Elephas maximus indicus: one gene and its partners. The protein of the gene in region 1 interacts with the protein of each later gene in a pairwise test. Links are inferred from orthologs where the notes say so. Each region holds a gene or a part of one and is shown in the gene's direction. Other genes may lie near its edges. The genes, in order: PPP3CA, AKAP5 and C21H16orf74.

Region 1 (7,834 bases):
TTTCAGATTATAAATCAAACTCCCATACACATACATGGTCCCATCAGGACTGGCTGTCTACTCTGCAGGTTCTTCAGCATCATGGTCCAACAACTCAAGTGAAAATAGGTCAAACGTACTCCTGTCTACCACCAACTACTTAAAGCAAAGTGCATGTCTCAGGTGAGCCATACTCAGAAGTTATTATTCAACTCTTAATGTCCAAATGATAGTATATTCATCCAGGAACTGATAGAAATTCCAAAATTTTAAAAGCAAGTTCTTATCAAAACAGGATATAAATATAAATCCCTTATTGCTTTTCTTAAAAAAAAAAAAAAAGCCTCTGGGTCTAGGAGAGCACTTAATAGCAAACTAAAATGTTAATTTACTGTGATCTGTACCAATGGACGTAAGTTGCAACTTGTAGCATTTAAATCGACATATTACCCCAAATCCTGAATACTTTGTTTTTTTATACATATTTATTTTCATGACTAGTTTTGATGAAGCTAATAGTAACATTAGTTTGTATTCTCCAGTAGCAAGAGAAAGTAACACTTACACTTAAGTTTTTTCAAAGGTAATATGTATAATTCATATATAATAAGATTCTAAAATCATTGAATGAAGGGACTAAATCTTTGAATTTTTCTTTGTCCATACATTTATCCCTCATCTATTACAGTGCCTTGCACGGAACAGGTGTTTGAAACACAACCGGTGAATGAGTAACTCATTAACAGAAAATCACAGTCTGATGCTTATGCGTTAAAAAAAAAAAAAAAGAATATTTTTAGTTTTCTGGTAGTTCTATTAAATAATAATCGAACAATAAATTTGAATTTTGGAACTTATATAATAATTAGATAACATTTATATATTAATTTGTTTGGTAATACTAGCTACTATAACAAACACATTCCCACATTTTAATGGAGTAATATAATAAAAGTTTATTTCTTGTTCATGTAAAAGTCTAATGCAGGCTTTCCTCATAGATGGACAGCCTTCCTCCATGTGGTGAGTCAGGGACTTAGCTCTTTGCATCTCCTGGTCCTGCATGACCCCAAGCCTTGGAAGCCCCTGCATTCAGCTAGGCAATAGGGACCAATAGCCTGGAGAATGCTTATCTGTTGCATAACTGCCTTGATTTGCAAGTGATAAAACACTTCAGCCTGAACTAGTCACAGGGACCTACTTAGATGCAAGAGACAGCAGGCTGGGAAGTGGAATCCCTAGCTAGTCAGACACTTTCAAGAGAGAATTATTCTACGCTAAATTTTTTTTTTTTTTAAGGAAGTAGAAACTCTAATTTCTGGCAGACTGCAAGTTATCTTTTTCTTGGCAGTAATCTTTATCGAAGCAGATTACCACGTCTTTTTTTTCTCCGGTAGAGCTGCTGGTTGAGTTCAACCTGCCAGCCTTTTGGTTAGCAGCCCACTTAAACAAACAAATAACCAACCAACCAACCCAACAAACAAACCTTTGGCAGTAGAGTCAATTCTGACCCACAGCGACCCACAGGACAGAGTAGAACTGCCCCATAGGGTTTCAAAGGAGCAGCTGATAGATTCGAACTGCTGACCTTTCGGTTAGCAGCCATATATCACTTAACTAGCACTCCTTAACCTTATGCCATGATAACACGATCAAAGATTGCTTGGACAGTCTAGCAGAACAAAAACATGATCATAATAGATACCTGAATTAAAAAGATGATTTGGTTGTCTGTTTCAGCAGGCCAAGTATATAGACAAAACTAAAGCAAAAAAAAAAAACCGTTGCCATTGCGTCAATTCCGACTCATGGCAACCCTATCGGACATACTAGAACTTTCCCCTAGAAGCAGCTGGTAGATTTGAACTGCTGACATTTTCGCAAGCAGGTGAGTTCTTAACCACAATGCCACCAGGGCTCCGTGGACAAAATTAGTCCCTAGTTCATATACTACTGCTACTTTTCCTTAGAGCAGGGTCCAATTTTTTTTAATAAAGATGTGTCTGTGTTGCAACAGTTATGGAAGGATGCACAAAGGAAGTAAAAGTACTTGATGATAATAAGATGGGCTGTAAAGCGATTATGAGTCATCATTTTTTTTTTTTCCCCTACACATACCTCAAGTAGGAGCGTCCTAGAGTTGTAGTGGACTAAAGGGTGTGCCTGAAAGGTGTGCCTTCATTTCCTACCTATATCATAACACCTTTCTATGGTGCTGACACTTTAAGCCTTCTGATTTTGATTCAAAGGTGTTTTTCCTACACCTGGTGAATGTTAGTCCGAATAACAGTGGGCACAGCCTCTCTGTTGGCGTCCTGTGAAAGAGAATGTCTTGGCCTTGGAAGTGAGCATCCCTGGACACGGTTTTCTGCTCTTTCTCCAAGCAAGCCCTCTTCACCCACAGGCCTTGGCATCCCTCCCTCACTCTGTGCCATCTGGCGAGGGACCAACTCCCCAAATCTGCCTCAGCAACTAGCTCTGCCTGTGCTCAGGAGGCTGTTTTCAACAACCTCTCCATGAGGAGGTACAGTGGCGGCTCAGAGTTTATGTTTTCTTATTCTCTGAGAGTTGCAGTGAATCCTAGGATTTATTGAGGCCAAAGATAATTTTCTAATCATCCCCCTCCCCTAAACCAGTACCTACCACTGCGTCTGGCATAAAAAAGGAGCATGATGCACAGTTATTGAATGAATTGTCTGCCTATTACCACACACTATCCTGGGGTTAAAACCCTATGGGGCAGTTTTACTCTGTCCTATGGGGTTGCTATGAGTGTCAATCGACTAGACGGCAATTTTTTTTTTTAATCCTGGGGTTAAGAATTGGGCAACAGATTCTTGGGGCCAGTGGCAGCCTCCCTGTGCTGGTGGCACACACCCTGCATCAAGTCTCCTTTTGCTTGAAGGCCTTCGCAAAGGCTCATTGACCTTCTGACGTGTGCTCCAACTTCTTGCAGGCCACACCACTCAAGCTGCTCCAGCACCATCAGTTGGTTCCTAAAACTTTATTAGAAGTTTGGGCCTTAATCTAATCCATCTCCAAAAACTTTTTTTGTAGGCCACCTCCTACCTCCCTAAACCTTTTACCGGTCCCATTATACTAACGGTCCAATTCAGAAAATAGGAACAACCAGGTATTAAAGGAATTTGGAAGTAAAACAGGAAGGGTGGAGAGTGGTGTGAAATTTATGCAACTTTCATTACTCCCAAAGAAACTTCACCCTCTTTGCCTGGACTTGGGTGCTGAGTTGGTTTTGGTCAAGGAGAGAGGCTGTGCAGAGGTGACCTCTGGCAGAGGGAGACCCTCTCTTCAGATTCTGTGGCTCGAGGACAGCGGGTCAGAAAGCATTCCAACATTCCACCCTCCTGCGCCTTGCATCCTCTCCTTTGCTCTCCTTCCTAGGGGAGGGAACTGAGTGGGGATCTGCCTTGGGCTCCAAGGCCCTGCAGGCAAAGGGAGCACCAAGTGGGTGCCGGGTGATTGGAAACTGCAGGGAAGGAAGGTGTAGTGTCACCTGTCCCGACCAGTGGTTGCTTGCGTGTGCGAACAGGGGAAAGGCTACCCTTTCCAGTGTTTCTCCCGCCCCCCTCATTTCTCCCGGGAGACTGCAGGGCTGCCCGGGTGATTCGGAGTTGCCCGGAGTCGCTCGGACTCCCCTACCATTCTCCTTGGATAGCCCGCTCCAGCGTCCCTTAGTGCCCCGCACCCTCCGCCACGTCCCTGGTCCGCAACGTTCTGGAACCGCCACTTCCTCAGAAGGTGTGGATGCACCGGTGGTAAACAATAATAACTACAACAACGCCAACACCAAAGCCCCGATATAAAAAATAACTGTACACCTCTCACAGGGCGGAGCCCGTCTCCCCAAGGTAAGTTGTTTATTCGTCGTCGTTTTGGCGATCCTCCTTGGACAGCTGGGGCAGCGACAGCAGCTGCGCCAAAGGCCCTGGAGCTCCCCGAGCACTTCTTCCTCCGCCCTCTCACGTTTGCCTCTCGCCCCCACCCCTCCTCTCCTCTCCCTGCCTCCTCCTTCTTGCCCTCTCTCCGGCCACGCACACACTCGGAGACACCCTCGGCACTTGGCTACTCACACTGCGGCTGAACCCAGCCGACCAGGCACAGTTGCCAAAGCAGCGCGGGGGTGTATGCAGGGTTGACGGGCGGAGGCCAGACAGGGGTGGGGGTGGCACGGTAGAGCTCCTCTCCTCCCGGCCGCGACCCTTTGGCCATTCTCCTTCCCTAAGCCCAGCTGGCTAGCAATAGTGACACCTGAGCAGGGACTAGATGGTGGAGGTGGCAGGCCCACTGGACTGGCCGCCGGGAGAAAACAGAGAGGGGGCGGACACGGCGAGGAGGAGCAGGAGGCGGGAGGAGCCGAGAGGCAGCCACCAGGCAGTGAGTGACGCGCGCGTCAGCCAGTGCGCGCCTGGGACTCCGACGTGGGGGCGGGAGGCCGGGGACAGCCGGGGAGGAGGAGGTGGCTGCTGGGGAGCTAGAGGCGGGGGCCGAGAGGAGGAAGGGGAGGAGGCGGAGGCGGGCGCGGTGGCGGCAGCAGCGGCGGCGGCTGAGGGTAGGTTGCGCCGGGACTGTGTCTGCCGAGCTCCGCGGCTGTGCCTGTGTGAGTGAAGGAGTGGCGCGAGCAGGCAGAGGCGAGCGCGGGCGAGCGCGGCGACGGGACGTCTCCGGCAGCTGCGGCGGCGGCAGCGGCAGCGGCAGCAGAGGCGTCGCTCGGTGTGTGGAAGCAGCGGCAGCAGCAGCAGTAGAGGCGGCCGCCTCTCCGCCGCCGGGGACGCTGAGGCGCGGCTGGTGGCACTGACATCGGTGGCCCTGCCTCTCCTTCCTCGCCCCCGACCCTCCCCATGTGATCGGTCTTAATCCCGGCCGTGTGCGCGCGTGGGGCTCCATTCCGCGGTGCCCGGTCTCCGTGCCGGGTGGGTGCTTGTGTGTGCGTTCTCCTCCCCATCCCCCTTCCCCCAAGAATAAAAGAAGAACCGAGAGGCGTGCTTAGAAAATAAATAAATAACCACCACACACGCGCAGCCCGGAGCGGAGTCGGTGGGGCTGGAGGCGGCGGCGAAGGAGGAGTGAAGGCGGCGGCGGCGGCGGCGGCGGAGGAGGAGGAGGAGGAGGGACGCGCGGAGAAGGCAGTAACTTTAAAGCCAGCTCAGAGCCCAGACCTCCAGCCGAGCGGTTTGCAGCGCGGCAGCGGCGGCATTGAGTGTCTGGCCCGCCAGTCCGGTCGGGGTGTGCAGTCGGACGGACGAGCAGCGCGTCGCTGTCCCCCGGCGGCTGGAGATGTCCGAGCCTAAGGCAATTGATCCCAAGTTGTCGACGACCGACAGGGTGGTGAAAGGTAAGCGGCGCGCCGCGGTCGCCCGGGTGCACCGTGTGCCGCAGGCGCCCGGGTGGCTCGCCTCCCCTCCCCCGCCCGGGGTTCTCTCCCAGCTCTAGCCAGGGACCTTCTAGGATATTGTGCAACCCTCGAACCCCCTTCCCCCGCGGCAGCCTTCCACCGCGCCTCCCACCCAGCGCCGCCTGGGGCATTTTTATTTATGGGGGTGTCAACTGGCAAATGGCTGAGCCGTGGGGAGGCGGGGGTGGCGGTGGCGGTGGCGGGAGGGGGCGCCCGGGGGGTGGTTGCTGGTAGGGTGTAGCTGCTGTGACAGAAATAGGAAGTGGGTGGCTGCTCGCAGGCGTGCATGGGATCGGGTTTATGGTTTTCTTTTGCAGAGGGAGGGGTGATTTATGGCTTTTTAAACATTAATATGGCATTTTTATGTGGCCGTGGCTTTCCACCGACTGCCTTGCTCGGGAAGTGTTTTCTCGGCGCTTCATTGCAGCAATTCCCTCCGCGCCCCCTCCCCCTCCCCTCTGGAAGGGCCTGCACAGGACTCGCGAGAGAGCGGGAGAGCGTGGGGGGTGCCCGGCGCTTCCTCCCGCGCCAGGCGGGGGCGGCAGCCAGGAGGTGGGTAGCAGAGGGGGCGCGCTGAGGGTGCAGGAGGCGGGGGACGGCCCGAGAGTCCCCGCCGCCACGGGATTTCCCCACACGCCAGATGAAAGACTTGAATAGCAGTTCTTAGACTTCCCTTGTCGCCCCTAGCCGCCCCCGACGACCTGTCACCGGTCTTGAAGGGGTGCCCGTTCGCTAGTGCACACCTTCCCAGCGGGAACCTCGCCCCGGTCGCCTCCTCCGTGTCCCTGGCACCCCCGTTGTAATGGGCTCTTCGATTTGTATTATTGTGTCTTCTCTCCCGCCACAGGGTTATATACTAGTGGGGATGGCTCTGGGCTTTTTAGGGTGGAGAAACCTGAATGCGTGGGGCAGGCAGTGGTCGCCCTCTGATTATTGCACGAGGGAATCCTCTGTCCTCTCTGTGTTCCGGATTGGAGTGGGGGAGGAACCACCCTGTGAATCCTGGAAGGACGAGAGAACAGAGCAAATTCAGCAGGATGAAGTAGTATCCATCCTTCCTGGGGTCAGGACCAAGCAAAGCAGGAATGGGCATTGGCTGTGCACCGAGCGGGACCTCTGAAATTGCAAACAGGCATCTTAGGCTGGTGTGAGTGTGTGTGTGTTTGGAACAGGGGTAGTACCTGGTGTGGCCAGAGCATCTAATGGGGCCAGGGGTAGTATCTAATGTGGCTATAAGGTCATTTGAACCATGAACCATTTGAGCCTTGAGCACTTGATGTGAAGTAACCCAGTAGGATGAAGACCATGATTACTAAACAAAAGTCCATGTGGGGGGCGGTTCAGAAATGTTCCTCGCTCCATAGAGATTTGCCCAGTTTTTTAAGTTTTTTTTTTTTCTTCATTATGGTGGTACTGGTGATGGGGGAAATTGTGTCCTTTTTTTTTTTTTTTTTTGAGAGAAAAAAGAAAAGAGAATATTTTAGTTATATTAGAACCATTCCTGCCTTCCACCCAGTATTCATTGACCCATTAAAATAACGAAGAAATAGCTCTGCACATGGCTTGAAATAAGACTACTGATACACAACTATTATTTTTTATGCATGCATATATCCTCACGTGAAGAGTCAGTTCAAATTCATTAAAACGGCTGCATTTTCTATCAGTGGCTTCTGTTGCCATTTTCAAAAATTAAGATTTTTTCTGAAATATGAGAAAATAAAATGTATTTCCCTGATGTGTGAAGTGTAGATGTAGCTCCAATCTGTATATTAAGGGCACCTATTTTCATAACAAATTAATGTGAAGCTTATAATTCAAATGATAGCAATAAACATGTTGGCAATTAAAAAACACTTGGTGTGCATACATAAGGTCACATTCCCTGTTTTAAATCACAAAATGTGAATTCTTAGTGTAAACATAAAATTGTCATCAAGTGAAAAATGAAAAAATAATTGTCTATACATTGTGGCTTGGTGCCTTTACAAGTTAATTAGATAGCTGATGTTTCGTCTTGTGTTTTTCAAGACTATATTATTATAAGTTCTAAAAACTTTAGTTTACATATTTTGCAGAACTGAAATACAAATGTGCGTATACACTCAAAATAGGAAAACTTGTTTTTACACTTGTTTTGATAGGAATCCTTATGTGAAATTTTGGTTATAGAAAAAAGTTTTGTTGATGAGTCGTGATTTTAAGGTGAGCACACTGCTACTCTTTCTCTTCTGCTTTCTTACAGACTTTGTATTGTCAGCTTAAAAAGCATTATCAAAGGTTGGTTTTAACATTTTGTCATACATATAAAACCCAGTGCATATAGTTTATACAATTAATTATTAGGGATGGTAATCGAGTTTGAGTATCAGTCTTCTAAGAAATAACATATTCACTTGAATATATGTGTTTAATGGAAAATATGTTACTAAATGATTTTTC
Region 2 (7,373 bases), on another chromosome or scaffold:
GGATATTTCTGGGAGGGCCCATAGTCAGGAGACCACCTGAGATGGTTAGGATGGATGTAGAGTGTAGAGGGGGACTTGCCTTTTTGCCATATACCTATGTTTTTTTTTTTTTAATTTTCATCAAGGAAGTGTTGCTCATACAGGTTTTAGTCCTGACCTTCCTTGGAACTCTCTTTTCTATCATAGCTTTAGCACCATTTCCTGTATTTTATTTTTAAATTAATAGACTTTGCACCGTTTATTTTTAAATTTCCCAAGAAGAGTGGTCATATATCACTAACCTTACTTAGTTATGTATCACTAACCTTTCTACCCTTTTGGCTCAGCAAATATTTATTTAGCTTCTGCTGTGTGCCCGGGCTCTCCCCTTCCCTGCTGAAGATTTCTTCTCAAATAGCCCTTCTTCTCCTCTTGTTCTTTATCCTCTGTATGTTTTTCCTCTCCCATTTTTTTACTCTCTTTTCAAACCCCTTGTCTTCCTGCTTTAGATCCTTCCAGAGGACATTGCATCCTCATGGGTACCAGTGCTAAACACTACTGACCTTGGCATGTATTATGTTTTTCCTGGTGTCCTTGGTTTTATTGTTTTTAATCCTCTGGATTCACATCAGTGTTGTAGTTCAGTCACTTTTACAGTCCAAAGGAATGGGAGCAGTGCTTTCGGAGGTGTATGGCAAAGGGGTCATGAGTAGTACAGAGCCTGGTTTTACTGCTTAGAGCCTTACTCATCTCTCTGCCTCCATTTCCTCCCCATGGAAGTGTGGGCACTGTTGATAAACACCTCATGAGGGTGGTTGTGAAGATAAAGAAACAAGCCAGCGAAGACAATTTGCACAGTGCCTGGCACATTGTAAGCACTCAGTATTGTCAGATACATCCAAAGCATCACTTGGGTCCTGTTCGCACGGAAATGCAGAGTTCATTATTTCTGACATTTGTTAAAATGTTCTGTAAAACTTCATCTGGAATGGGATTTGCTGAGAATTCAGTTTGTAGATGCATGAAGGAAGCATGTCTACTGGCAGACATAGTGACTGTTAAAGATGCCTCATCTTAAAGGATGTAGTCCTTGTATCCCCCCTAAAGCGATGTGAATTTAAATCCATAATACTGATAGAGTGGTGAGCACAATTGGAAGAAAAGGGAAGAGTGACATTTATAAGCAAAACATTATAAACAAAGCCCTAATAGAATAAATACTCCAAACTTTTTATCAGTTGTTGCTTGGAAGGAATGCACCATCACCGATGCAAAAATTTTCCTAAGTATAGGTAAAACATGCCTTCAGTACAAATCCAAATGGTACAGCTTTTTCCACTTGGCAGTTTATCTTGGAGATCTTACTTCATCATCAGTTAAAGATCCACGTTTCAGTGGATCTTTATGACTGCGTAGTATTTAAACAGTCCTCTACCGATAGACACCATTGTTTGATGTTTTTTGCTAATACAAATACTGTGGCAGTGAATATTCTCATATGTATCTTTTCACTTTGTGTGGAAATAAATTATAGGATAAATTCCTATCCTAGCAAAGGAATTTATCCTATAATAAATAATTTATAGGATAAATTCCTAGCAATGAAATTGCTCAGAGGGTGGCCTCTAGCTTCCAAATGGAAGCAGACCTTTGGTTGGAAGTGTGTAGGGATAATAAGCATTAATAGAACAAATCTGTAAATTAGGTTTATATCCCCATTTTACAGAAAGGCAAACTGCAAGATTGCATTGCTATTGCCTGCCTCAGCCGGGGTTTGTTTCCACCTCATCTGACTCCAAAGCCTCTGCTCTTTACTATCATACTGCCTCTCACAGCTCTTCCTTGAATGCTTTCTGGCCAGGCTGTACTGAAATGGACTTCCCATTTTTTGAGAGATGGAAAGCTGTGCCCATTTCACATCCCTTCAGAAGGAAGAGGTGATAAAAGGTAGGAGCAGCAGAGGAGAGAAATGAAGAGGTTAGGGAGGCTGCTGATCTGTCTGGCATGCATGAGTTTTGTGGAAATGACTTCTCAATCTTTGATAAAGAAGAGGTGTCACAAGCACAAGCTTACAGACGCCATTTCCGTAATAAAAGATCATAAACAAAAAATAAGACCTATATTAAACACCTACAAAAGCATAAATGCCTGGGGTATCTATTAGTATGGGTTGCCAGAGAAGATTCAGCACCTTTAGCTGGGGGCTAGGAGTCCAGATTACTGGCCTTCCTGCATCTGCTACCCTTCTCTGGGCTGCTAATGCTTCCCTCCCCTAATTAGTAATATTACTGATAAACAGATGGGAGCTCCTTTAAGCTGCACCTCAGATGGCTTTTGCTGTGCGTTGGTGATTTATATATACTCAATTCAAAAGAGACAGCGTTTGTGTCTTCGCTGTAAAGCAGATGGCAGCAGAATTACTGTCGAGCTCTTGTTAGCTGGTGCAACCCTGACAGTGCCCACACGGTGTCCATGAGCAGGTCAAACCACGAGAGGACTGGAGTCACACGTTCACTTAATGGTGTGCATGGGAAAAGGGCTGGAGGGTTTGTTTCCAGAAGGTTCTCTCTAAAATGTAAGGATTGTGAATAAGGAATAATAAACCACTTCTGGTAGCTACAGGCCTGGGCTGTAGGTGGGTAGAGACTAGGATGGGGAGACATGGTATGATCAGTATTATTCAGATAAATATGCAAGCTATTTTATTGGAACACTGTATCTGGTGATATTAACAAGATAAGCTGTAGGTAGGATAATTTCTCATCAAATTGGAGAGGTATATTTCTAGCCTGTTTCCCATTATATAATGAAAAGCTACTAATGGAGTAGTAGACAACGATATGGGTAATAGCTTAAACAGCCTGTCACTTAAGTGAGTTCAGGAATGACAGGTTTCTTTCATGTGTGAGGTACTGGATACATTTTGAAAAACATCATAGATACGGCATTGGGTTCTAGTCACATCCTAACGAAAAATCGTTGTATGTAAGTGAAGCCCTAGTGGCACAGTGGTTAAGCGTTCAGCTGCTAACCAAAAGGTCAGCAGTTCGAATCTACCAGCTGCTCGGAAACTCTATGGGACAGTTCTACTCTGTTGTATAGGGTTGCTATGACTCGGAATCCACTCAGTGGCAGTGGGCTTGGTGTGTAAGTGTGTGTGTCTGTGGTGGAAGGCAGCAATGAACTGTATGTAAAATACCTTAAAGAAATTCCCTTTGACTAAAAAAATTACGTCTTATTTCAAAGCCATTTCCAGTTCCTTTCCCCAGCATTTTTTTTTAAAGAAAGGCAAATGGAGTAAGATCTACAAGTCGCTAAGGTGGCCGTTATTGTTTTAACCTGTCCCTTGTTTCATTTCCCATTACCTCTTAGTAAGACAGCTATTCTGCCCTCTCCTCATGTAGATAACCAAACCAAACCCACTGCCATCGAGTCGATTCCGACTCATAGCGACCCTATAGGACAGAGTAGAACTGCCCCATAGAGTTTCCAAGGAGCGCCTGACGAATTTGAACTGGTGACCTCTTAGTTAGCAGCCGTAGTACATAACCACTACACCACCAGGGTTTCCCCTCATGTAGATAAGCTCATCTTATTTTTGTCTGGAAATGGCAACTCCCTTGTGTGCTAAATTGAGAAACCTTGGCTCTCAATTAGGATTGGCATCTCCATTGGTTATGGATGGCATGGTTTTCCTTTAGCTTGTTTAAAGTTCAAAACTAGCAGTCAGCAGGGTTAGCAGCCCACCTGAGGATATGAAGGATATTTTCACCAACTTGTGTTTGTGAAATGAACAAGGCTAAATTGAATTCTTAATTACAAGTAAACCAGATGCTTACAGATTTTCCTGTATTACAGCTCTTGTGTCTAACTTCTACCTGTAAATTTAAGAGCTTGACAATTTAGGTTCCACTTTGCTTTTGTGTCCTGAGTTCTTTCCTCAGTAAGTCTCAAAGGAGACTACAGAAAGGTAAAATATAATCCTGTAGAAAGTCCACAGATTTAGCCACCCAAAGATCATGATCCTATTGAATGGAAATAAGCCCAGTCGTTCTTCACTCCACTTTAATAGGTTCATCTTCAGGATGGTGTGCTGAGAGGGGGGCTGGAGGAGGAGGCGGGAGTTGTGGCCCTTCCTGGAACATTCTGTCCTCGAATATGTGTGGTGCATCTGTCAGGAACTCACAGCTCCAGCTCAGGAATGCCCTTGCAGTTAATATTAAACCCAAAGTAATTCACCTTAAGCTCCCATAGCAACATCTTTCATTGGCTATAAGTTAACACTTTATGTGTATAATAAGTACTTGGGGTGCTTTGCAAAGTAGCCAGCAATTCATTTAGATAAAAGGCTCAGGAAATGCATGAAAATACACAACCTCGCCAATCAGACAGAAGGTAGATGCCTTTCTCTGCGAGTGGAGTTGTGAGGAAAGCAGCTTGATTGAGAAGAGCCTGACAAAGCAGACACCTAGAGGGACCTAAAGGAAAACGTGGGTACTCGCAAGCTACCTCGACTTAACTTAGAAATATGTTAAGGTATAAAAGATAGACCAGGCTGGGTCCCTGTGCCCTTCAGCCCTGGTCAGCATGGATGTAGACACTCCTGCAGATCACAGCGTTCTTAGGCACGCAGGTGACCTCCTAGACCCGGGAGACTAGCGTCTGGGCCTGGGGCTTCTGGGAGACCGACAGTGAACCTTGATAATTACCTCATTACACTCAAACCCACTCCTGGGAAAGTTTTGTTTGTTTTGGTTAATATACTATGTCATTTTCTACCCAAACGGGATCTCTATGCACAGTTTCCAACCCTGCTTTTAAAATTTAGTATCGGCTGTGTTTTTAAACACAGCCCATACCAAATTCTTAAAGGAGCCCTGGTTGTGCGGTGGTTAAGCGATCCGCTGCTAACCAAAAGGACGGTGTTTCAATCCACCAGCTGCTCCTTGGAAACCCTATGGGGCAGTTCTACTCTGTCCTGTAGGGTCGTTATGAGTCGGAATCGACTCAAGGGCAGCGGGTTTTTAGTGTTCTTAAATGGAGCCCTGGTGGCACAGTGGTGAAGAGTTCGACTGCTAACCATTAGATTAGCAGTTGGAATCCACCAGCCGCTCCCTGAAAATCCTATGGGGCAGTTCTAATCCGTCCCATAGGGCCGGTGTGAGTGGGAACTACAGCAGTGGGTCGGGTGTCCTCAAATATTCGGGGAGGGGGGTGGATTATAACGGTACTGCCTATAATTTGAAGCTGGATTTCGCTATTTTGCGTCTCAGAAAATAGGGACTTAGTACTATCGTCCCCTTCCCCATCTTCCTGCTGTTTCTCTATGGTCCCCTGGCCCTTGCCCTGATGTGATCCGCAGTGGGATTCGGGACGGGGCTAGGAGCTCGAAGGTCTGCTCCCACGTGGCAGGACACACCGTTCGCAGGTGGCCCCGGACCTCCCCCCCGCCCCTCCTCCCCCCGCCCCTCCCACCGCAGCGCCGCGCCACCGCCCCCCACCCCCGCCCTGGCCCCGCCCCGCGCCCGCCCGCCCGCCCGCGGCTCCGCGCACATTGGCGCGGCTGGGGAGGGGGCTCCGCCCGGCTGCGGTCCCTGTGCAGCCGGCCGCTCCCTCACCCGCCTGTCCGCGGCTGCCCGCTGCCTGGACCCCCGGCCCCGCGCGCGCGCCGACCTCGGGAGCAGGGTGGCCAGGGACCCCAGCCGCCCTCGGTAAGTAGAGGCGGGGCGGGGAGGCTGCGGCAGAGGAGGGTCCCAGGCAGTGTCTGGGGTCGCTACTGGGCGGAAGCCGCCCCGCTGGACAAGGGAATTCGGGCCCTCGAGGAGGAACCCCGAGCCTGAACCGAGGAAATTGCCAGCCAGGCGACCCTCAGCGCTGCCCACCCACCTCGGCGTTCCGCCTCGTCGAAAAGCATAGGTTGCCGGTTGCTCTTTTCCTTCTTTACCCTTTTTTGGGAAAATGTGATCCTGAGTTTCTGGTCATTATAATGTTGCAGATAGCTCGAAGCTGGGTTGTCTGTTCCACATCCCCAGCACCTTCCTTTCTGAGTACTTTACCCTGCGCGCTGTCTCCTACCACAGTGTCCTTCCTCCAGGAGGAAGCTTCGGGGTCCGTATCTGGTGCCGGGAAAGATTCGCTGCTTCCCTTAGGAAATGATTGCTCTTTGCCTCCGTGCTTCTCCGCTAGCGGGATGAAGGGAAGGTGGGTGTTTCCTGTGGCATTAAACTTGCGGTGTTGTCAGGGAATGACTGAAGAGGCTCTTCAGATTTCCTGAGGTGACAAAACTACCCTTGCAGGTTAGGGGCGAATCATATGCAGTCTAACATATTCTGCAAAGTTGTGATGTCTACAAACTGCACCCCCCCCCCCCATTTCACTTAGGTTTCTGTTTGGATATTTGTTTTATTTCTGCAGTGTGATATACATTCAAGACAGCGTGTCCAGAAATTGTCTTTGGCCATTACAGGTTAGTTTCCAGTGATGCATTCCTGAAAAAAAAAAAAAAAATTCCTGAACATGATCTAATTTCATGACTTCTATCAGTAATAAACCACCTGCTTAATAAAAACGCTCCGGCACTGAGAACTCACAAGAGGTGAGAAGACTTACAGCTAAAGTCAGCTGCAGTTCTAGTTAGTGCCTACTGAGGCATTACATGAGGACATAAGATGTTCTTATTTTAGGTCCATCATTGTTCTAAGCTGAATGACTGTCAGAGGCATGGAATATGAAACACCCAAACTAAGAGAATATTTACTTGTATCATAAACTGATTTTCAGGATTCCAGTTCCTTCTCCAGTTTACACAATGAAGGACTACACAAAACAAAGCTCACCACTGAGAGACTTACATAAAAAATAGTAATAAAAATAGTACAAGGAAAAAGCCCTTTATTTAAGTACATCCATCAACAAAAATTCGCAGGATTTTTATTAAAGTTTCCCCTCACATTTCTGCTCTTTGATATCGTTATACCATTTTGTGAATTATTTTTAAAAGTGCCTTTATATTTATATATAACTAATCAATTTGCCAACTGCATAGTTTATCAATTTATATTTGGATTTAAATGAGTTTCAGAACCAAGAAAATAAAATATAAAGAATTTCAAAAACTTGGTTTTAAAATAGCAAGAACCGTCTAATCTTGGTTCAATTATGAGTTGTTGAGCTGTAAGGTTTTTAAGGTTAATTAAGTGACCACCAAACGATGTCATAAAACGTTGACTAATGTAGCTAGTACTTGTATCTAGTATAGATTAGCATCTTCAAGCAATTCATCTTCTGAAGAAAATCTTACAGCCCAGTTTATCACAGTGCTTCAGAGAATGGGCTTTGGAAACACAATCCATGGTTGAATTGGAGCTCTGCTGCCTACTAGCTTTGCAATCTTG
Region 3 (7,498 bases), on another chromosome or scaffold:
AAAAACCCTATGGATCACAATGATTTGATCCACAACTGATCAAGGGGATGGTACAGGACCAGGCACCATTTTGTTCTGTTGTGCATGGATTTGCCGTGAACTGGAGGTCTCCACCAGGTGGGGGCCGACTTGACCGCAGCTAGTGATAACAACGTGGCAGAAGCTAGAGCAATCTTCTAGGACCCCCAAATACAGATTCCCCCCCATAAAAATTATTAAGGTGTAATATACATAGGCACACATCAAACGTATACACCCACATCAAGAAGCAGGATGTTTCCAGCCCCCAGGAACACCTCCCCTGCAGCGTAAACATTTTTCATTGGCCTATACCCTTCAGAAAGGTGCATAAATCATATAAGCCTTGAGCTGCATGAATTGTCACACAGCGATCCCAAGGGGGCAGTGGGCAAGTGCTTTGCTGAGAGTCACATGGCCAATGGGTGGGTGGACCGTGGCTGGGCCCCAGGTGTCCCAGACCCTGCCCAGCAACAGAGATCAGGTGGGGGTTTCGGTGGGTGCCCACCCCACCCCCATCCTCTTTCACTTCCTGTCAGGCTATGGTGTGACTGTCCCAGCAGCTCCCCACCTCCCTGAGAGCAGCTTGCCTGGCTTGCAGTCTTGCAGCCCTGTGGGTGCCACTCCCGATTGCACTCTGTGTACTCATGTTAACACTTGAAGCATCCATGCACGGCTCCTTTGGCTGGAATTGCAGGAATCCTAATCCTGTTGCAGAAAGAACGTGCTTTTTCTAAAGAAGGAAGAACACCAAGATGTGCTGCGTGCTTGCTGGGAGCCCCGCATGGCTACCCTGTCAGTATTTCCTCCCTGTGTCTGCAGAGAGCTGAAGGAGTTTCCCTGACCTTGCACAGCTAGGGTGGAACCTGGTTCTGCCTGTTGAGTCCCCCCACCTAGACTAACTGTCACATTCTTCAGCTATGACTCTGCCCTTTCCTCCATCCTTAAAGGACGTCTTTGTTAAGGAGGTGAGGCTCATGGTGAATTATGAGCTCAGAGACTTACTGTGACTTCTTCTGGGAGGTGGTTCTACAGACATCAAGACTGGACTCCACTGCTCTCTCACTTTCCCTCCCTGGGCCTCCTCATCTGGGGAAGCCCAGGCCTTAAGAGATCAGACTACCTCTGCCTATGGTTGCCAGATGTAGCAAAGAAAAATACAGGATGCCAATTAAATTTGAATTGGAGATAAGCAAGATAATTTTTTTAGTGCGTGTCCCCATACAATAGTTGGGTAGCTTGTATTTTATCTGGCAACCCTAACTCTATGGGCGCTTCCAGCTCTAGAGTCAAATGATTCAGTCCAGGAGGGCTTCCTGCACACTCCCAGACCCCCACGATCCCCCAAAGTAGTAACTTTTCACCAGACATTGGAGTCAGAATTCTAAAAGCAAGGTCTGTGTCTTCAACAGGCTGTGCTAAAGCCTGGTTACTTCTCTCCTTGTACAAAGAGTTTTATTTTACAAAAATTTTAAATTTATATTGTTGCAAAATATGTATATATATTACACAACATTTGCCAATTCAGTGCTTTTCGTGTTGTGCAACCATCACCAATAGTTGTTGCCAAATTTTTCATCACCATAAACAGAAACTCAGGGCTTCCTAAACAATGACTCCGCTTTTTACCCCTCCCTCCCGCCCCTGGTAACCACAGGTAACCTTTAGTCTCTACACATTTGCCTATTCTAGCTTTTTCATATAAGCTCAGTCATACAATATTTGTCCTTTTGTGATTGACTTACTTCAGTCAACATAATGCCTTAAAGGTTCGTCCATGTCATCGTATGCGTTGGGACTTCATTTCTCTCTATGACTGGGTAATATTCTGTTGTGTGTATGTACCACATTTTGTTTATCCATTCATCTGTAAGAGTTTTCTTATTTTTCTTTTCTCTCTGCTTGGAAAACCTGTGGAGGTTGAGCTGTCTAGCAGTCACTGCTGCGGGCTGGCAGTCACTGCTGCGGGCTGGTAGTTGGCGGCCCCTATTTTCAAGGCTATTTTATAATTGTCCCTGTCACCCGAGATAGAATCTGAGGCCATTTGGCTTTAGAGAGATTATTCTGCCTGGGTGCAAGAACGAACCTGTTCTACTTCAAGCTGTTGTGCAAATAATTAACAATCTGATATTTGGAAGGGAACATAAACAGCCTGATTAAGTATGAAAGGGAGGTTTTTTACACTCCTGAGAACGTGTTTTTTTTTTTTTTTTTTGAGAACGTGTGAAAGGGAGAAAACACACCTAAACCAGCAGTTCTCAGGGGCCTCGTGGCTCCCAATGCCAAGCTAAGGGCGCCCCCTCCCATTAAATCTTCATCTTTTAATGACAAAAGTATGTAGTATTTTTGTGTGTAACAAACTGAATGTCTGTAGAACGGTGGCGTGTAGAACAACATAGCTGGAGGCGTAACTGTGGTGCTAATATGCTGCAGCTTACTAGCTGCGGACCCTTGGGAAGCTACTTGACTGGGGATGGTCGTAATGTGTATCTAGGAGGATATCGTTAGGGTTCCATGCTATCATTTTTATGATGCGCTTGACCCAGGACTTGACATATTAGAAGCATTAGGTTGATATCAGCTGTTGTCATCACGATGATGGGGTAAAAGTAGCACCACGCCCCATGGTTAGGAGTCTGATAGGGTTTCCACTCAGTGGGATGTAAAAGCCAGCTTTAACTCCTCCTTTCCAAAGCATCCCAAGCCAACCCAAGGGGTGCACTCTCCCTTGAAAGCATCTGCCATCTCTGCAGGGGGTGCCCTCCAGCCTGGCAGCCCCCCATCACAGACTGAGTGGACGAACTCCATCTACACTCTGAGTAAATCCATTCCTGGAGGACATTCTCCCACATAGAAGAGTTGGAACGGGAGCTGCAATGTGGACTTGGGGCCACACAGGGGGCATCCCGAGTGGTCTTCTAGACATGCTCAGTAGTAATACTACATTATTCACATTGTATGATGATGATTTTCTTAGTGTCCTGAAGCTGCCAAAACAAAGTACAGCAAACTCCTGTTGTTAGGTGCCTTCCCGTGGTTCCAGCTCATATTGACTGTGTGTACAACAGAAGGAGACACTGCCTGGTCCTGCACCATTCTCACAATTGTTGCTATGTTGGAGCCCATTGGTCAATCCATCTCCTTCAGGGTCTTCCTCTTTTTCACTGACCCTCTACTTTACCAAGCATGATGTCCTTCTGCAGGGACTGGTCCTTCCTGACCACAAACTGGGTGGCATTCAAGAACAGAAATTTATTCTCTCACAGTTCTGGAGGCCAGAGGTCCAAGTCCAGGGTGTCAGCAGGGCTGTGCCCTCTCTGAAGGCTCTAAGGGAGGCTCTTCTGGTAACCCTGGGCGATCCTTAGCTTGAGGCTGCAGCTTAACTCTATTGTCTTCCCTCTATCTCTCTTTTATAAGGACACCACTCAGCTTGGATTAGGACACACCCTGCTGTGGTATGACCTCATATTAAATGATAACATTTTCCAGGACCCTGTTTCCAAACCCAGTCACATTGACGAGTATAGGGGTTAGAATTTCAACATATCTTTTGAGGGGACACTATTTAATCCATCAGATGATGATGATGACAACACTGATGACTGTGTCTCAGGCCCTGTCCAGGCTGGTGGCATGGCATTTCACAGAGGAGGTCACTGTGCCTGGATTGGAAGTGTCTAAGGTCACACAACCCCTTTTTCCCCTAGGCCAATCCTTCTTCCTGGAGCCTGCCTTCTTCCTCTTGTCCTTGTGGGGAAATAGAATCACCATGAAAGTGACAGCAATATGTGTCGTGATGAGAAAACTCAGTTTTTGAAAATTCTCCATTTGGGAATTTTAAAAACCTGAAGTCGATTTGCAGTACATAGCCATGATCCCTTGGTGCCTGACCCTGGTGCAGCTTGTTGTCCCATTGATCACCTGAATCCAAGCTAGGGCCACTCCTGGTTCCCACCCAGTGCACCAGAGGTAGCTAAAAATAGGCCCAGAGATGTGGTTCAACCTGGCTCTTTTTTATTTTTATTTTTTGGCCCACAGTGTTTTGAGATGGGTGTTTAGGCATTTTTGAAGTTGTAAGACAGCTTTGGAGGTCAAAGACTATGGGTTCAGGATAACTTTTCAGGGATGCGGTGGTGCTTGGAGCGGCATATTAAGAACCTTACGTCTGCCAGGGTGGAAGGGAGTGCATCTCCCACTGTTTCAAGGAACGTTCTAGGAAAATGCCAAGGAGTTCCAGTCTGCCTGGTGGTGGAAAGTGTGGACTCTGGCATCAAAGTACTGAGTTCAAATCTCGACTCCACCACTTGCCACCTGTATGACCTGTGCTACTAGGAGATGTTAAAGCTGTGTTTCTCAGGATCTTTTTTTTTTTTTTTTTTCAGCCCAGAATGTTTTGAGATGGATATTTTTTAACCTATAAGGCAGCTTTTGGGGGCCCAAACCTATGAGCTCTGGGTAATTCTTCTGGGAAGTGGCACTGTACAAGTGTTTCACAAGCTGAGTTACCAACCAGTAAGTAACCTCTCTGTGTTGTCAGGAGGGATCAGTCTCTGGAGAAGGATATCATGCTTGGCAAAGTACAGGGTCAGCGGAAAAGAGGAAGACCCTCAATGAGGTGGATTGACACAGTGGTTGCAATGATGGGCTCAAGCATAACGATTGTAAGGGTGGTGCAGGACTGGGCACTGTTTCGTTCTGTTGTGCATGGGGTTGCTACGAGTCGGAACCAACTCGATGGCACCTAACAACAACAACAACAACCTCCATACCTCAATTTCCCCATCCGTGAAATGGGGATGGGAATGGCCCAACCTCATGGGGCTGCTGTGAGGATGAACTGACCATGGATACATGTGAAGGGCTAGGACAGGCCCAGTGCCTATAGAGCTCCAGAGGCAGAACTCTGATTCCCACAGACTCTTCCTGCCAGCCCTGGCCCCTCCTCTCCCCTTGAGGAAGGGTGCACTCCTGGGTGTCCCATCCTGCACATTACAATCACCGGGGAGCTGATTCTAAAAACCCTGGTGCCCAGGCCACACCTAGACCAAATACCCCGGAATCTCCGGGCGTGGGACCCAGGCATCGGTATTTTTTAAATACCGATGAAAAACTTTAGGAAATGGATAGTGGTGATGGCCGTATAACATGAATGAGATGAATGTCAATGAGCTGTATACATAAAAATGGTTGAAATGGAAACTGTTTTGTTATATATATATATTTACTGAAGGGAGCAGTGGTGCAGTAGTTAAAGCACTCAGCTGCTAACCAAAAGGTCGGCGGTTCAAACCCATCAGCCACTTGGAGGGAAAAAGATGTGGCAGTCTGTTTCCATAAAGGTTTACAGCCTTGGAAGCCCTATGGGGAAGTTCTACTGTATCCTACAAGGTCACTGAGTTGGAGTGGACTCGAAGGCAGTGGGTTTCTTTTTTTGGTTTATATACATACCACAGGAAACCCTGGTAGCACAGTGGTTAAAAGCTATGGCTGCTAACCAAAAAGTCGGCAGTTCGAATCCACCAGACGCTCCTTGGAAACTCTATGGGGCAGTTCTACTTTGTCCTGTAGAGTTGCTATGAGTCAGAATCGACTTGACAGCAATGGTTTGATTTGGTTTTTATACTTAACTGCAATTAAAAAAAAAAAAATGCTCCCCGGATGATTCCAGGTGCAGCGAGGGGCCATGCTCAGTGAATCAGTCGGGGTCTTGTTAAAATGCACATCATCTCTCTCCCCCTTTCCTCCCCCTACTCACTTTCTGTACCTGAATGCCCTGGTCAACCCAGCCCTACCCTTGCTCCCCAATCCTCCAGTCAACCTCCTAGTGGGTACCTCCAGTGGCACCTGCTACAGCCCCCAAAATCCAACATGGCTGAAATGGAAACCTTATTTAGTTCTTCCTTCAGACTGGCTGCTCCTGGCTGTCACCCCCACCTAGTCTGGCATATCCCCCAGACTCCCAGCTGCCAATCCCTTGGCAGCATCCCTGTCCTGTCATCTTCATGGTCAGGCTCTGTGATTCCTGGCCTGGACCAGAGCATCTCAGACCTCAAGGAGCACAGGGATCCCTGGGGGTCTTGTTAAAATGCAGGTTCTGGTCCTTTGGCCTGAGAGGCAGCATTGCTGACAAGCTCCTTGGGGTGCCAGTGGTGCTGCTGGGCCAGAACCAGAAGGGGTGGGCAGAAGCCTCCCTTAGGAGCCCTAGGATGGGCTGTGATAGCCAAGGAAGGTTTGGCAGGGCCATCGGGGTGTTCTTGGCCTGAGTCGCTAGTCTGGGGCATCTTGCACCTCCCAGCAACGGGCCTGCATTAGGTCCCTGCCACGCTCAGTTACCAGCTGGGGCAGCTGGAGGGAAACACAGCCTCCCTGTAAGCCAAGAAGCAATGGATCTCTGAGTTGAGTGGGGCCCCTAGTCATCACGTGGTTGTCACACGCCTGAGTCCAAGATCAGAGAGGTGCATCTTCACGGTCGCCCCCCACCCCTCTTTCCCAACCCAGCGTGTCATGGGCCTGGCTCACAGGTGGCTGTCCAGTTCTCTGTGATTCAAGGAATAACCTCAATGGCTCCCCTGTCAGCTCAAAGACGCTGGGACCCTCCAACATGGAAACAAGACCCCTCAAGAGTGAGGTTCCAGTATAGGGACAGGGCAGTACTGGGTCCGAATCCCAACTCCTCTTCTAGTTAGCTGCATGACCTTGGGTGGGTGATGTCACCTCTCTGCACCTTGATTTCCATGTCTGCAAAATGGGAACAGTCGAAGCACCTCCTAGGAGTAAATGTCACGGGCACGGATGGCGCTCCAGTGCTGTCAGATGTTATTTTATTTTCCATGTACTCAGCATGCTAGGGGTCGTCGTGTAGCAGAATTATTGTTGGGGACCTTGATTGGGTCATTAAGGTCTATGGGTTGAGGATCCAGCGGCTGTTATAGCTTAATCCCCAAGTGTCTGAGGGATCTGCATCTTACGAGAGGGGCAGTGGTGGTAGGGAAGAGGCGCTAAGACTGGTGGGCTTTGCCCCACTCCAAGGGTCCTCATAGTCCCTGGGGCTGCTCCCCAGGAAGGCTGCAGGGTTTTTGTCCCACATCATCAGCCCCGGCCACAGCCTCACCTTGAACTTTGCCCTCCCTGCAGCAGCGGCTGCCACACTTGCCTTCAGTATATTTAGCTTTGATGCACTTGAAAGTTTCCATCAGCCCAGACTTCCCTCTCTGAGGCCAGATGTAGTCAGTCAGCAGGCGCCGTGACCTCACAGCAGCCGGTGGTTTCTCTGGGCCACTATTTCCTGTTCTGCACCCATTAGGTGTGCAACGACACAAGTCACCCACACTGCCCGCCCCTCTCTGAATCTGTCCTCTCTCTGCAGGCTTGCAGGGGTGCCGACATGGGGCTTAAGCTGTCCTGCCTGAAAGGTAAGACGTGGGAGCTCCCCCACCAGTTCTTACGGAGGGCCTGGGGGCTGGAGAGGGTGGGAGGGTAA

What was found.
Region 2: the proteins of PPP3CA (region 1) and AKAP5 interact in binary tests that used the Homo sapiens proteins (3 or more experiments, as listed by UniProt). The link is inferred for Elephas maximus indicus from reciprocal best matches to the Homo sapiens genes PPP3CA and AKAP5.
Region 3: the proteins of PPP3CA (region 1) and C21H16orf74 interact in binary tests that used the Homo sapiens proteins (3 or more experiments, as listed by UniProt). The two-hybrid records come from large-scale screens. The link is inferred for Elephas maximus indicus from reciprocal best matches to the Homo sapiens genes PPP3CA and C16orf74.

The regions. Positions count from the first base shown.
Region 1 is NC_064823.1:51,533,418-51,541,251, forward strand, and holds the start of PPP3CA (protein phosphatase 3 catalytic subunit alpha), read left to right. Parts: upstream 1-4,795; 5' UTR 4,796-5,274; coding exon 5,275-5,332; intron 5,333-7,834. UniProt on the Homo sapiens protein: Calcium-dependent, calmodulin-stimulated protein phosphatase which plays an essential role in the transduction of intracellular Ca(2+)-mediated signals. Many of the substrates contain a PxIxIT motif and/or a LxVP motif.
Region 2 is NC_064828.1:76,766,838-76,774,210, forward strand, and holds the start of AKAP5 (A-kinase anchor protein 5), read left to right. Parts: upstream 1-4,317; 5' UTR 4,318-4,469; intron 4,470-5,541; exon of another isoform or gene 5,542-6,439; coding exon of another isoform or gene 6,440-6,467; intron 6,468-7,373. UniProt on the Homo sapiens protein: Multivalent scaffold protein that anchors the cAMP-dependent protein kinase/PKA to cytoskeletal and/or organelle-associated proteins, targeting the signal carried by cAMP to specific intracellular effectors.
Region 3 is NC_064839.1:51,496,348-51,503,845, reverse strand, and holds the start of C21H16orf74 (uncharacterized protein C16orf74 homolog), read left to right. Parts: upstream 1-4,454; 5' UTR 4,455-4,530; intron 4,531-7,384; 5' UTR 7,385-7,402; coding exon 7,403-7,430; intron 7,431-7,498.